2 linked regions of the Drosophila melanogaster genome follow. The gene in region 2 interacts genetically with the main gene of each other region. Each region holds a gene or a part of one and is shown on either strand. Other genes may lie near its edges.

The links. Genes that interact genetically often act in the same process or in processes that back each other up.
Region 1: of Hrb98DE (region 2) and Parg, changing one enhances a phenotype caused by changing the other (phenotypic enhancement), as found in Drosophila melanogaster (one study listed by BioGRID).

Annotation. Positions count from the first base shown.
Region 1 is NC_004354.4:3,668,316-3,673,087, forward strand, and holds Parg (Poly(ADP-ribose) glycohydrolase), read right to left. Parts: upstream 3,188-4,772; 5' UTR 3,053-3,187; coding exon 2,340-3,052; intron 2,273-2,339; coding exon 814-2,272; 3' UTR 522-813; downstream 1-521. Other genes in the region: Ilp7 (Insulin-like peptide 7), read left to right, coding at 1-97, 220-389.
Region 2 is NT_033777.3:28,598,588-28,606,277, reverse strand, and holds Hrb98DE (heterogeneous nuclear ribonucleoprotein at 98DE), read right to left. Parts: upstream 5,872-7,690; 5' UTR 5,761-5,871; coding exon 5,710-5,760; intron 5,573-5,709; coding exon 5,083-5,572; intron 4,750-5,082; exon of another isoform or gene 4,610-4,749; intron 4,581-4,609; exon of another isoform or gene 4,431-4,580; intron 4,402-4,430; exon of another isoform or gene 4,262-4,401; intron 4,132-4,261; exon of another isoform or gene 3,992-4,131; intron 3,939-3,991; exon of another isoform or gene 3,789-3,938; intron 3,723-3,788; exon of another isoform or gene 3,583-3,722; intron 3,507-3,582; coding exon 3,331-3,506; intron 3,267-3,330; coding exon 2,960-3,266; intron 2,908-2,959; exon of another isoform or gene 2,756-2,907; intron 2,671-2,755; coding exon 2,597-2,670; 3' UTR 2,580-2,596; intron 2,218-2,579; exon of another isoform or gene 1,183-2,217; intron 817-1,182; 3' UTR 501-816; downstream 1-500. Other genes in the region: CG9986 (uncharacterized protein), read right to left, coding at 1-110; Noa36, read left to right, coding at 7,057-7,548, 7,641-7,690. UniProt on the Drosophila melanogaster protein: This protein is a component of ribonucleosomes.

The DNA.
Region 1 (4,772 bases), on a different chromosome or scaffold from region 2:
TATTGGGCCTGCGAGAAGGACATTTACCGACTGACACGGCGCAACAAAAAGAGGACGGGCAATGATGAGGCTTGGATCAAGAAGACAACCACGGAACGTAAGTTGTTGAATCGAAATCCATTCCAACCAAAGACGATTGGAATTTCAAGCGATGTACACATGTACATCTATGCTATAGATCCATTGATATCGATATGATACCACCTGCTGTCTTTCCAGCTGATGGCTCCACCTGGCTGCACGTGAACTATGCCAACATGTTTCTGCGAAGTCGTCGATCGGATGGAAACACTCCATCGATATCGAACGAATGCTGCACCAAGGCGGGCTGCACCTGGGAGGAATACGCCGAGTATTGTCCATCCAACAAGCGACGCAATCACTACTGATTGGCCATCGACGTTGGATCTGCTTAGATATATATATATATATACGAACAAACAAATATATATTCGCTTTTTTTTTCGTGGTTGTTGTTGTTGATGTTCTTGTTGTGGTCAAATAAAATAAACAAAAGGTTTCGGTTAAATAAAAAGAAACTTTACTGGCTTTAACTACAAATTTCGCATAATAAAAGCTAGATTTGCATGATATAACAAATTATATTAATCAATCAATGTTATACAAATTTAACAGTAAAATTGTCTTTGCAGATTAGAATAGTATAATTAAAAAAAAAAAAAAAATTTCACTTTATTCGACTTACAATGATCCTACTTTAAAATGCCCTAAATATGTCCTTAAAGTTATCTACAATACATTTTATACCTCTTCAATTTTGGGGGCAGTAACAATCCTGTAGTGCAATATCACCTAGTCAACAATATCGTCCTTTTCGTCCTTGTCGGTCACATCGATCTCCTTACGACTCTTTGCTGAACCCTCAGCCTTGCTGCAGTTGGGTGATTTTCGTGGCCTCTTCGAGGCCGAACCCTTTTCATAATGGGTGTCCAGCATCTCGAGCAGGCTCAACTGGCGGCCACCTGAACCCATTGATTTCGTGGCTGTACTGCTCGTTTTGGACGTTGTGCTGCTGTTGCTTATTTCTACGCTGCTTTTAGCCTCCAGACTAGCGGCCTCCATCATGGCATTGGCCTCCTCATCGTCCGACAGCATAAGAAGGGCCTGATCTTCCGAAGAATTTGAGTTATCTTGCGATAATTGCGCGGGCAATAGATCGGTACTTTGTTGCGTTATGGTGATTTGCGGTCGGGCGGGTTGCTTGTTGAGTTCTGGCGAGGATTTCGCTGATGTTTCTGATTTTCCTTCGCCTAATCCAGCTACTCTAGAGCTTCCAGCTTCGGCGGATGCTCCCTCTCCGGGCACATCTCTGACCTTCTTAAGTTCCTCTTTAATAAAATCATATAGCTTCTTTTTGGATGCCTTATTCTCACGCGGCTCCTTGGAGCTCTTCTCCTTAATAAGCCTACTGTACGACCTTAAAATACTCCAAAGCTGCTGCACCGTAGTCCCGTCATTTCGAAACAACAGCCACATTTCATGAAAATCATCCCTAAACTCCACATTTCCAAAGGTATAGTAGGCCAAAGGTCTGCCCAACTGGGCGCAGACCATAAGTTGCAGCAGGGCTTTCAGATAGGAGTCACCGCCGAATGCGCCGCAACCCCAGTTACCAGTTGCCACACCCGGTGGCGGCGTCACCATCCAGTGAACAAATCCAATGTACGCCTTGTTCAGCTCCCTTTCCATGAGATCCTCGCGATATTGATGATGTGACTGGGCAAAATGTAGGGCATCGATTGCCACAATGGCCGTTTGTCGACGACCTGAGCTATCTCTTGGCGTTGAATCCTCAAAGTTGCCGGACCACTCGAAGCTTCCGGCATATCCCGTATAGTTACTATACCTTTCGGCGCCCAACATCACCAGGGCCTCGAATGGTCGCAGACACTCCGTAAAGAGTTTACCCACCAATAGCTCCGGACAGATAACAAAGCGTATCTCCTCCTGAACGCAGCCATGTCCCAAGACACCGCCACCCAAATATTTGTTGGCAAAGTCTACTTGCAGCAGTCCAATGCCCTCATCCTCGATTGTTCCCTCGGCATCCACGTGCAATGGCACATCACCCAACGGCGCCGCACTTTGGCTCCAGTCGATCAGATGTTCCGGCAATCCGCTCCGACGAACAAAGGTTACCACACCGGTGGGCACATTGCTGGCATCCCGCTCTGTGGGACACACGCGACGAAAATAGTGCATAATGCATTTAAGCTTCTCCAGAACTGCCGGTCCCGTCGATTGGTAAAGCCTTTTGATGGAATCGAATATATTTAACATACTTCGACTGAAGATATACGAATCTGGTGGACGCTCACCTGTTAAAGTTGATGTCTGGAAAAGTGCTGTACTCGGACTTCCTCTTGAGGGTGTTTCTCCGGGGAAAGGTGCACAGGAAGGCATTGGCCAACAGGCAGGAGATCTGCTGTTGGCTCAGGCTCAATGAGGCGTTCTTGTGGTGCTTGAGCAGCGGAACTGGCGATTGAATCAAGTCCGGTAGCCGCAATGCCAATCGGATAATGCGCGGCAATAGATCCTCGAAGAAAACCCGTGTTTCGCTCTCGTCCAGTTCCTCGTCGAGAAGTTGATGAAGGGCACGAAAGTGCCACTGATCCCTATAGGTGGTATTATATGATATTATCGCCGCCTGCAGTTCCTCACACGTCTTTATGGGCTGCAGAAGGGCTCGTTCGATCATTTCCCAGCGAAAATCGATGGTGGTGCTGCCATCCGGATTCTCCCTCGGATATTTCGACTCGGGCGCACAGGGCAGACGCACATGCTCGGAGTCCCACTTTCCCGGTGATTTGTAGGGGCGTGGCGGTGTTTCACGAATTGGCAGCTGGTACATAACCCGGTGGAGATTGCCGGCAGTCACTGGTGGCAAATTCTCCAATTCGAAAGGCTGCCGATTACGATGTATAGCCTCCATGGAAACTCCACGCCACGAATCATCTAGGGAGTTCGCCAGATTTTCCGGCTCCTCCTCCGTTTCTATTTCGGAAATCCCGCCATCCGGCGACTTCGACATCCTGGCGCAGTTTAAGCACAAAGCCTTGCCGAGTCGATTGGTCAGCACGGATGCACTTGCTCTGCGGCGATTTGCCGTAGATTGGTAAACCTTTTGGAATATCGGAAAAATCAAGTGTGACCTGAATTCTTGCATACCGGTGTTTTGGGGATGAGCGATAGCTGTGATGAATATCGCACTTTATAAATACCACACACTTCGATTGAAGCGTAGTGAATTGAAGCGTTTATATATCGAAATATATTCAAATATATGTTGGTATTCGTTTGAGAATGAATCAATAACAAATTCAAAATTGCATTGCCTTGAATTCGGCGGGCGAAAGTGTGACCATTACATGTGGTATTTTACCTCTCATTGTCGCTAGTATTTAAATACCAGCACGAGAAATACCAACACTGTGTCCGTTGCAATGCGAATTGCAAATATAACCGCCGAAGGAACAACAACAAACAAAAAGAAAAAAAAAACAAATCTTCCAGCAATTTGTCAACTATTTTCTCTAATTTTTTTTTAAAGTGTAAAACTATCATAACGAGCGCCAAGTTTTACGTTAAGTGAAAGGATTTTTTCCTGTCCTTCGTGCGGTAAAAATAATAGTGCATATTACCAAGGAAAATCAAGTTAAAGGCGTCTGCGAAACTTTTATAAATGTATTTAATACTCAAAAAGGTAAGAAGCGGCGGAAAGTAATTGCTGTTTTATGTTTTTATAATCACGTTTGGCAAGAAAATGTTATTTCGTTGACGTCAGTGGTCAAATCAAATTTTTTCAGTTTTTAACCCTTAATGTGGCACTGTCACTCGCACCTATGTATATATTTATGTGATTGTGGTATTTTGCTCAAGCTTACGTGTTGAAAAGAGGAAGAGAAACCGCTGCATACACGTGCAAAGACTCTGAGAATGGACACAAGAGAGCGAGAGAGGGAGAGAGAGAGAGCGCAGTTGTTTGTTTTGAAAGCGTCGCAAAAACAATACAAAAAAGGTCATACATAATTTGCACACACACTTGCATCTGAGGAAAACGCAAAAGCAAATTCACAGCTAGCTAAAAACCAAAATAAATATAATTTATGAAATGTACTTTTGCTAAAGTTCAACACACCTTTATCTCTCCGCGAAATTTGTTTGCACCATCTCTTTCTCTCCTTTTTGCGTAAACAAACGAAAAAGCTTTGCAAGGAGAAGCAAAAAAAAAAAACACAAAAACAAAAATCGAATTATCAGTAGAATTCTACAAAGAAGAGGCGTTTCTCTTCATCGCTCTTCGTACCTGAGCGTAGCCTTCAAATTTGCTTAGATTTCGCCTTGACCATAACCTAGAAATACTCGAAAAAAGTACTGTCAACTCTCAATAAGTTAAACGATCGATTTTCACATAAAGAGATAGAGAGAGAAAGAGACCAGATATTAAGTGAAATTTATTTTACTAAATAAATTTTCAGAAAAAGGTGTAAATCCCGAGCATTTAGATTTCGTTGATGAACTTTAACGCAATGGGAGTCTGCACTGTACATGTAGAGCTTTCTCTTTTCTCATTTGCGTCAGCGAAAATACTAGGAATAATCGGGGGTGGCGTTTCGGGGGTTGGCAAAAAAAACAAGCAACAACAAAAATGCATAGAGCCGAATAATCGCTTGGAAAAAGCGAGCGACGAAAACGCGATGTTAGTAAACTTTTCAAGGTCACCTCAAAAGCATGAACTTATACTAATCAAC
Region 2 (7,690 bases):
TTTTCCTGGTCAAAGGGAAAAGTGATGTCCAGCCGGGATTCGCAGTCTTGGCCTTTATGATTTTTATACTTGTACACAAAGGGCAGCGTGCGAGTGGCAGTAGAGTCCATTTCAGAGGTCCTTAGTCGGTGTTTTAGTTAGTTATAGTCATTAATTCGCAAGTTAACGCCCCCTGCCTAAAAGAAATGCAATTAGTATGACCGTATTGCGACCGCTTAAATATATCGCAGAAAACTTATTCACCACTTAGAGAAGACTCAAACCAACAACAAAGTGACAGACACAGTGCTCATTTATCATGATTTATTATTTTCAGTGGACTAATTAAAATTTAACATTAAATGCAACAAAATGAATGCTTTGAAAATCATTCAACTATATAAAACGGAATTTGCGATTTTACGCCAATCACGTTACATTCGCAACGCCATTATTGTTCAAATACCGTTATTTTCCCCCACTGGTGAAATTTTAATTCAAAATGAAACGAAAATCATTTTGTTTGGTATTCTGAAATTTCTTTATTCAAAGATAGTAATAATGAAAATAAAATGAAGTAATAAATAAAAGTCGTATATTTACGATGGTGCAGAGGGGAAACCGTTCAACATCCATTCCATCCTCAGGTGCGACGAGCCGATTCAGACCACCTGAAAGTTACAACTTTTTCCGGATTTGGGATCTGCGGAGGATTACTTACCCAGAGGGAACCGAAACCCAGCGACCGGAGTTGCTAGCAAACGCGGGCACCTTCCGTGGCTGCATTCAGTAGCGCGGCGGCAGTCTTTCAGCGCTTCGCATACTTTTCGCAGCCAACTGGCAACAGAAATTACAATAATATACATGGTTGTAAATGACATGGTACAGCAGGCGGGGGGCAAATCAAATAAAAGGGGAAAATGATTCCTGTTAAGCGAGTGAAAGGAGAACTCTCGAACGACGTTAATGGCCCGCCCACAACAAATGCTATAGTAAAGTACATATTCTTGGCTGGCTTTTGGACCTGGTCAGACTTGCTGCACCTTGTTACCTCTGCAATACACTCTCATTCTGATCGAGATCCTTTTGCTGATGCTGCTACAGAAATATAGAAAACTACGAGGCTTTGGCTTAGCTATATACTTTTTGTTCTTTCGTCAGAGTTTACATCAATTGCGGGACACTTGCTTATTTTTTTTTTTTGCATCTTGTATTTTTTAGCTACATTAAAATGTAAATTTTGTTAAGTATAATTGCGCTGACTCCTCAGACAGACTGCTTGCTAAAAGGTATAAATTACAATAAAGGTTGTTTGTTGATCGGTTACATCTAAGCAGCGGAAGAGGTTATATCCATGTCGACACTTATTCAAAAATCTAAGTATCTAGATTCCTCCACACACGGTCAGGTTCGCTTAGAACTTGAATAGTAAAATTATTAAGACTAGGGTAGCGTGCGGATGGATGCAGAAGTCGCTCCGCACGCTCTACTCGATTTAATTCTATGAGAACTTAGCCTAGTAAAGTTGTAAAATGTAATACATGTTTTTATATATTTTGTGTTTTCTGCTCTGATTATCAAAAGTTGCCGGCAGCCGATGGACTGGAGAGCTGTCTGCAACCAAAGAAACATATCTCTCGGCTGCCGCCTTGAAGTTTTACATAGCTGATTCGTTTATGACTGGTTGTTTTAAGTAGGTTGGTTGGTTGGTTGCTCGTGTGGTGGAGATACAAATGTTTGGCCTGTCGTCGGCTTTGTGGATCTAATTACAATGTTACTTATATGGGCTGCTACATATGGGTTGCAAATTATAGATTACAATTCTGTGGGTATTGGATAGTTTTCGATGCGCCTCTTGACATTCAATTTATCATCGCTTGCAAAGACAAATTGAATGGAATCCTGGTCACCTTCTGTGTACGTGTACTGCCACTTGCTGTGTTTCTTCTGTTTAGCTCACACACTGCTCTGCACTGCACTGCACTCTGTATTGGTCTGGTCTTGCTTGGTACTGATCTCTCTTTCTGTTCTAATCCAAGACTGAACCAAACTTCTTACGACTTCACTGCACTGCACTGATCCTGATCAATCAATCTGTAATGTTTGGTTTGTGGTGCTCGGAAAACTTCTTAGGACTATGAACGTGCGTTCATACTTCATCATATTGATCATTGAATTGCGTATCGTTTACTTGACTTTGAATTTTGGGATTATACTGAGCGACTTTTACTTTATCACCTATAAAATGTCGATAAATGAGAAACGTTATTTAAAACAATTGGTATGAAAAGGAGTTCTTAATTGGTTGATGGGTTTTTGTTCTCTAAATACTTAAAAGTGTAAATACGTATATAAGTTTGTTGAGTAAGGTGGGTCGGACTGTCTCAGCCGTTTTGCTTTTTAGTCTCAATATGCTTTATAAACTACCAAAAATGCCGATAAGGGCGCTATTATAAAAAAAAAAAAACACACAACATATGTTTGTCAAATCAAGCGAAAGATTAATGGTCATACGGGATAGATAAGCGGTTAGTTATGGCCTGAATTCGCCTTGGACTATGTATATTTTTGTGTTAGTAGTGGTTATTTGGATGTCTCACCTCGTCCGGAATCTCTCTCAATATCTGCGGTTGTTGCCACCGTTATTGAAGCCCTGATTGTTTCCGCCATAGTTGCCTTGATTGCCACCGCCTAAAAGAAAACCCAGGATCGTTAGGAACATATCCAATCGTCTTTCTAGTCTAGTTTCTATACTGGTGGTGACTGTTCATGAAAAAACTGTAACGTGGCTGCGTGTTACGTCGTACTGGGATTATCTTACATACGCATAACATAGCGAAGGCCATCGTCAGTTGATCTCACAGCGTTTAATAAGCTAACTGCCAAACTCTATCGACGCTCTAACAGTTAGGTGTCAGGGTACTGTGTCTTGCTATCTAGTTGTTATCAGTAATGCATCAACAGACGTGCTGTTGCTCACCTGCTTTGAATCCACCACCTCCTTGGTAGGGCTGCATGCGATTGTTGTTGAAGTTGCCGCCACCTCGCTGCGGACCGCCGCCATAGTTCTGCTGGTAGCCTCCAAAATCATTGCCACCATTGTTCCAATTGTTGCCGCCGCCTCCAAAGTTGCCGCCTCCATTGCCATTGTCCCACGGATTGTTATTGCCCCAGCTGTTGTTGCCACCGCCATAACCACCACCGCCGCCGCCGCCACCACCGAAGCTGTTGTTGCCCCAGTTGTCGTTACCCCCGCGGTTGTTGCCCCAGTTGTTGCCACCGTTGTTCTGCAATGCCAATTAACCAGTAATAAGCCTCAAATCGAATTGATGGCGATCAATAAGTTCTTACCCAGTTGCCGCCACCATTCTGGTTGCCGTAGTTTCCACCGCCCATGTTTCCGCGGTTTCCACCGGCACGACCACCCGGACCACCGCGTCCTCCGCCACCTCCCTGTTGGTCATTCTGCTTGGGCAAGGCCTTCTTTACGTCCACCATTTTGCCATTCAGCTGATGCTGCTTTTGCACTGCAAAAATAAAGAGGGAAAGCATGCTATTAGTGGTATTCGAAAATGAACTTCCCTATGTGGTGCATCCGGAGGATAGTGTGCCATATACTCTTTCATCATTGGTGCACAAACACCACCAACAACAACAATATAATACTGGCTGGGATTTCATCTTACAGTCACAAACGCCGCACGAGCACATCGAACATTGCTATGCGGAGCTGGGACTGTGGAATTTTAGCTAAAATTAGGATCGATATCGGATAGTACACATTCACCATTTCGGTGCATTTGATTTGCAGTTGTAACGAGGCTGCGTGTTACACAGAATTGATTTATAATATACATTCGCATCACATAGCTTAGCCGACGCTTAAATTAATCTCACAGCGTTTAAATAAAAACCATACAGGCGACTTTTTCAAGCCCGTCAATTTGTCAGTACTGTGACGTCCACGAAGGGGCTGATCTAGAAACTTTCTGTTTAATCGGTTCGATAATCAAGGTGTGCCTTATACTCTTTCATCGTTGATGCACGAAGAGCACCAACAACAATGATATAATACTGGCTGGAATTTATTCTAACAGTCACAAACGCCGCACGAGCACATCGAACATTGCTGTGCGGAGCTGGGACTGTGGAATCGTAGCTAATTTTAGGAGATATATTCACGCTAAATAACATTCACCATTCTGTGGATTTGTCAGTATATTCAAGTAAGCGAAGGCATTTAGATACTCATTCTTTTCATATAGTTGGTAATTCAATGTGATATTGTGCCTTATACTCTTTCATCGTTGATGCACGAACAGCGCCAACAACACGATATAATATGGGCTGGGTCTTTTATCTTACAGTCACAAACGCCGCATGAGCACATCGAACATTGCTATGCGGAGCTGGGACTGTGTATCGATTTCCATAATAGCAATTAATTGAACTATTGTAACGAGGCTGCGTGTTACACTGAATAGGCGCAATGCTTACATTCGCATAACATAGCTTAGCCGACGCTTTAATTCATCTCACAGCGTTTAAAAAAAAACTACCCTGGTGATGGTTTCAAACCAGTTAATTTGTCAGTACTGTGATATTAGGAAACAGTTTTAGATTCAAGCTATAGTGTGCCATATACTCTTTCATCGTTGATGCACGAAGAGCACCAACAACAATGATATAATACTGGCTGGAATTTATTCTTACAGTCACAAACGCCGCACAAGCACATCGAACATTGCTATGCGGAGCTGGGACTGTGGATATATTGTAATAATTGCAATTTTATCGAAATTTCTTGCTTATAGTGCGCATTCGTTTATCCGACGCTGATGGACATTTACGAGAAGCCCTACAATGTGCCAGAGCTGATTGAGCATATAGATTAGGGGTGGTTGCATGTCATACTTTTTTTCTACACGAACGCCGCGTACACAAATGGGGTTAATATTCGTTTCCTGTGCAGATAATTCAATCTGTATTGTATAAATCTAAGAACATGGCAATGTGATTTTCCTAACAGTCTACTCTCGAAGAGATAAATCATTCTTAAAGGATATTTGATATTGTCTAGATTAGGAAAAGCGTTGTACTTACACACAACTTTGTCCACGGGATCGTAGTCGTCGAACTCGACGAAGGCGAATCCGCGTTTCTTGCCAGTCTCCTTGTCAATGACTATGTTGATGTCGACGATGTTGCCAAAGTGCTGGAAGTAGTCGCGGATGCTCTGCTCATCATGGTCGTCCTTGAGGGCGCCAACAAAGAGTTTCTTTACGGTGGCTCCGGCATTCGGGGAATCAATGTCCTGACGGGGAACGGCGCGCTTGGGCTCCACCACTCGACCGTCGATCTTGTGGGGACGCGACTTTTGGGCCTCATCAATCATGCTCGAGTGGGAATAGGTGATGAATCCGAATCCGCGGGAACGCTTTGTGCGCGGATCCTTCATGACCACCACGTCCACGATGTTGCCCCATTTCTCGAAGTGAGCCTTTAGGTTCTCGTCGGTGGTACGGTAGTCCAAGCCACCGATGAACAGCTTGCGCATATGCTCCGGCTCGGTGATGGAGTCCTGAGGAAAGTCCTAAATTATTGATTTTATCAATGGCCATAACCTCACTTTCCGCCCTTGAGACACATGCGTAATTTTCAAAATGGCGACCGGCAAGGCGAGACACCAGCTTACAGGAAATTTCTAGACCCTTAATATCCACTACTTACATCATCATGGCCATTGGAGTTGCCGTTCTGGTTCTGGTTCGAGTTCACCATTTTACTAATGCAAAAGTTGAACAACTTCTAATCTAACTATTTTTTTTGCTATTGCAAATGGAGAAAGTCCCCTGACACACGAGACGAATGAAAAAACTGAATACAGTGTGACCGTTTCTACAACCCGATTAAACCCAGCACCTATTCGATACTACCTAGAACGATAACGATAAGTTGACAGACACCCTTGTCAATACAATACTTTTACAATATCTGCCCTGTTTCTTTTCACCATGCCTTAAAAAATGTGTGTAACATGTGTATTCTTGATCACGCCTTTTGCACTAAAAAGCTAAAAGAGAAACCAATACCGACAGCATCGTACTCCCTAGCACTATTAAGATACAACTACTGTTAGTCTTAGTCTTAAGTAACAAAACCGCAACGAAATGCTTTAGCACATCAACTTTAGTTGCCGCATGGGTAAAAGCGCGTTGATCACCAAAATATATATATATTGGGATTATGGCCGAACTGAGTTTTTTCCCTGTGCAGTCGCGGTTTTGTGTGCTACTTACATCTTGCTCCTCATTTTGACCATTGTTCCAGTTGTCGTGACCACCCATTTCGAAGAACTTATATTTAAATATCTTTACTGCTCTGATATATATCTCAGCAATACTATAGAAATAACGACACTGGGAACGAAAGACGCTCACTGTAGCACCCCTTCCCTAAAACTGAAAATATATTTTCCTGTGGAAAGGAAAGCCGTAGACAGACCTTACAAAAATACTAGACCTAAATAAAAGCAAAGGTATTTGGTTACACTAATCGGTTGTTGCTTCCACTTGTTTCCACTGAAAATCTATGTGGGTCAAATTAGCGTCTATGGCAGAACGGTGAAATATGGAAAATGAGAATCTTATTTATTTATTTAATTTTTCGCTATTTATAGGTAAATTCCAAAAAAAATACAAATGCAAAAATCTTAATAAATCGAACTATTTAAGAGATCTAACTATCTATGTACGACTAAAGTTTATAGGACTCAGAAAGTATATAAAATATGCAATAAAAAAATCGGCTAGCTACTTTTCAAGGAATATCTCCACTCGCAGAGCATATTCCAAAATGCACGCTGGCCAGAAAAATGATGTGTTAAATTACTCGGCTCCGCCGTCGCCGCTAACTCCACGATGCTAATTTAACGCATTTTTTGTAGCTATTTTCAAGATGTAGCTACATATTTAGCGGAATATTCGAAAGCTTTTTGTGGTATTTTTCGGCGCACCCGCAGCAGCCACACTGCCGCACACGTAAGGAAATAAGTTTTCTAATTCCTTGATTTCAAAAATGCCGAAAAAGAAGACTGGGCAGCGTAAGAAGGCCGAGAAGCAGAAGCTTCGCCTCAAGGAGATCCGCAGCAGAGAGGTGCCTCTTGCGGATTTGCCCTGCAATGCACCAATGGAGTGCGACAAGTGCGAGAAGAAGCAGAAGTCGAGAGCCTTCTGCTATTTCTGCCAGAGCATTCAGAGATTACCCATTTGCGCCCAGTGCGGGAAAATCAAGTGCATGCTAAAGACCGGCGACTGCGTGGTCAAACATCCGGGCGTCTACACCACGGGCCTCGGAATGGTGGGCGCCATCTGCGACTTCTGCGAGGCTTGGGTTTGCCACGGACGCAAGTGTCTCCAAAACCACGCCTGCACGTGTCCGCTGCAGAATGCGACCTGCCTGGAGTGCGAACGCGGTGTCTGGGAGCACGGTGGGCGCATCTTCAAGTGCTCCTTCTGCAACGGATTCCTGTGCGAGGACGATCAGTTCGAGCACCAGGCCAGCTGTCAGGTGGGTAACCAAAAATACTCATTAAGCTTGTTCCGAACTTCATTTTGAGATTCATATGACGCCTTTTGGTAATGCAATCCATTCGGTTCCAGGTGCTGGAGTCGGAGAACTACAAGTGTCAATCGTGCAACAAGCTGGGTCA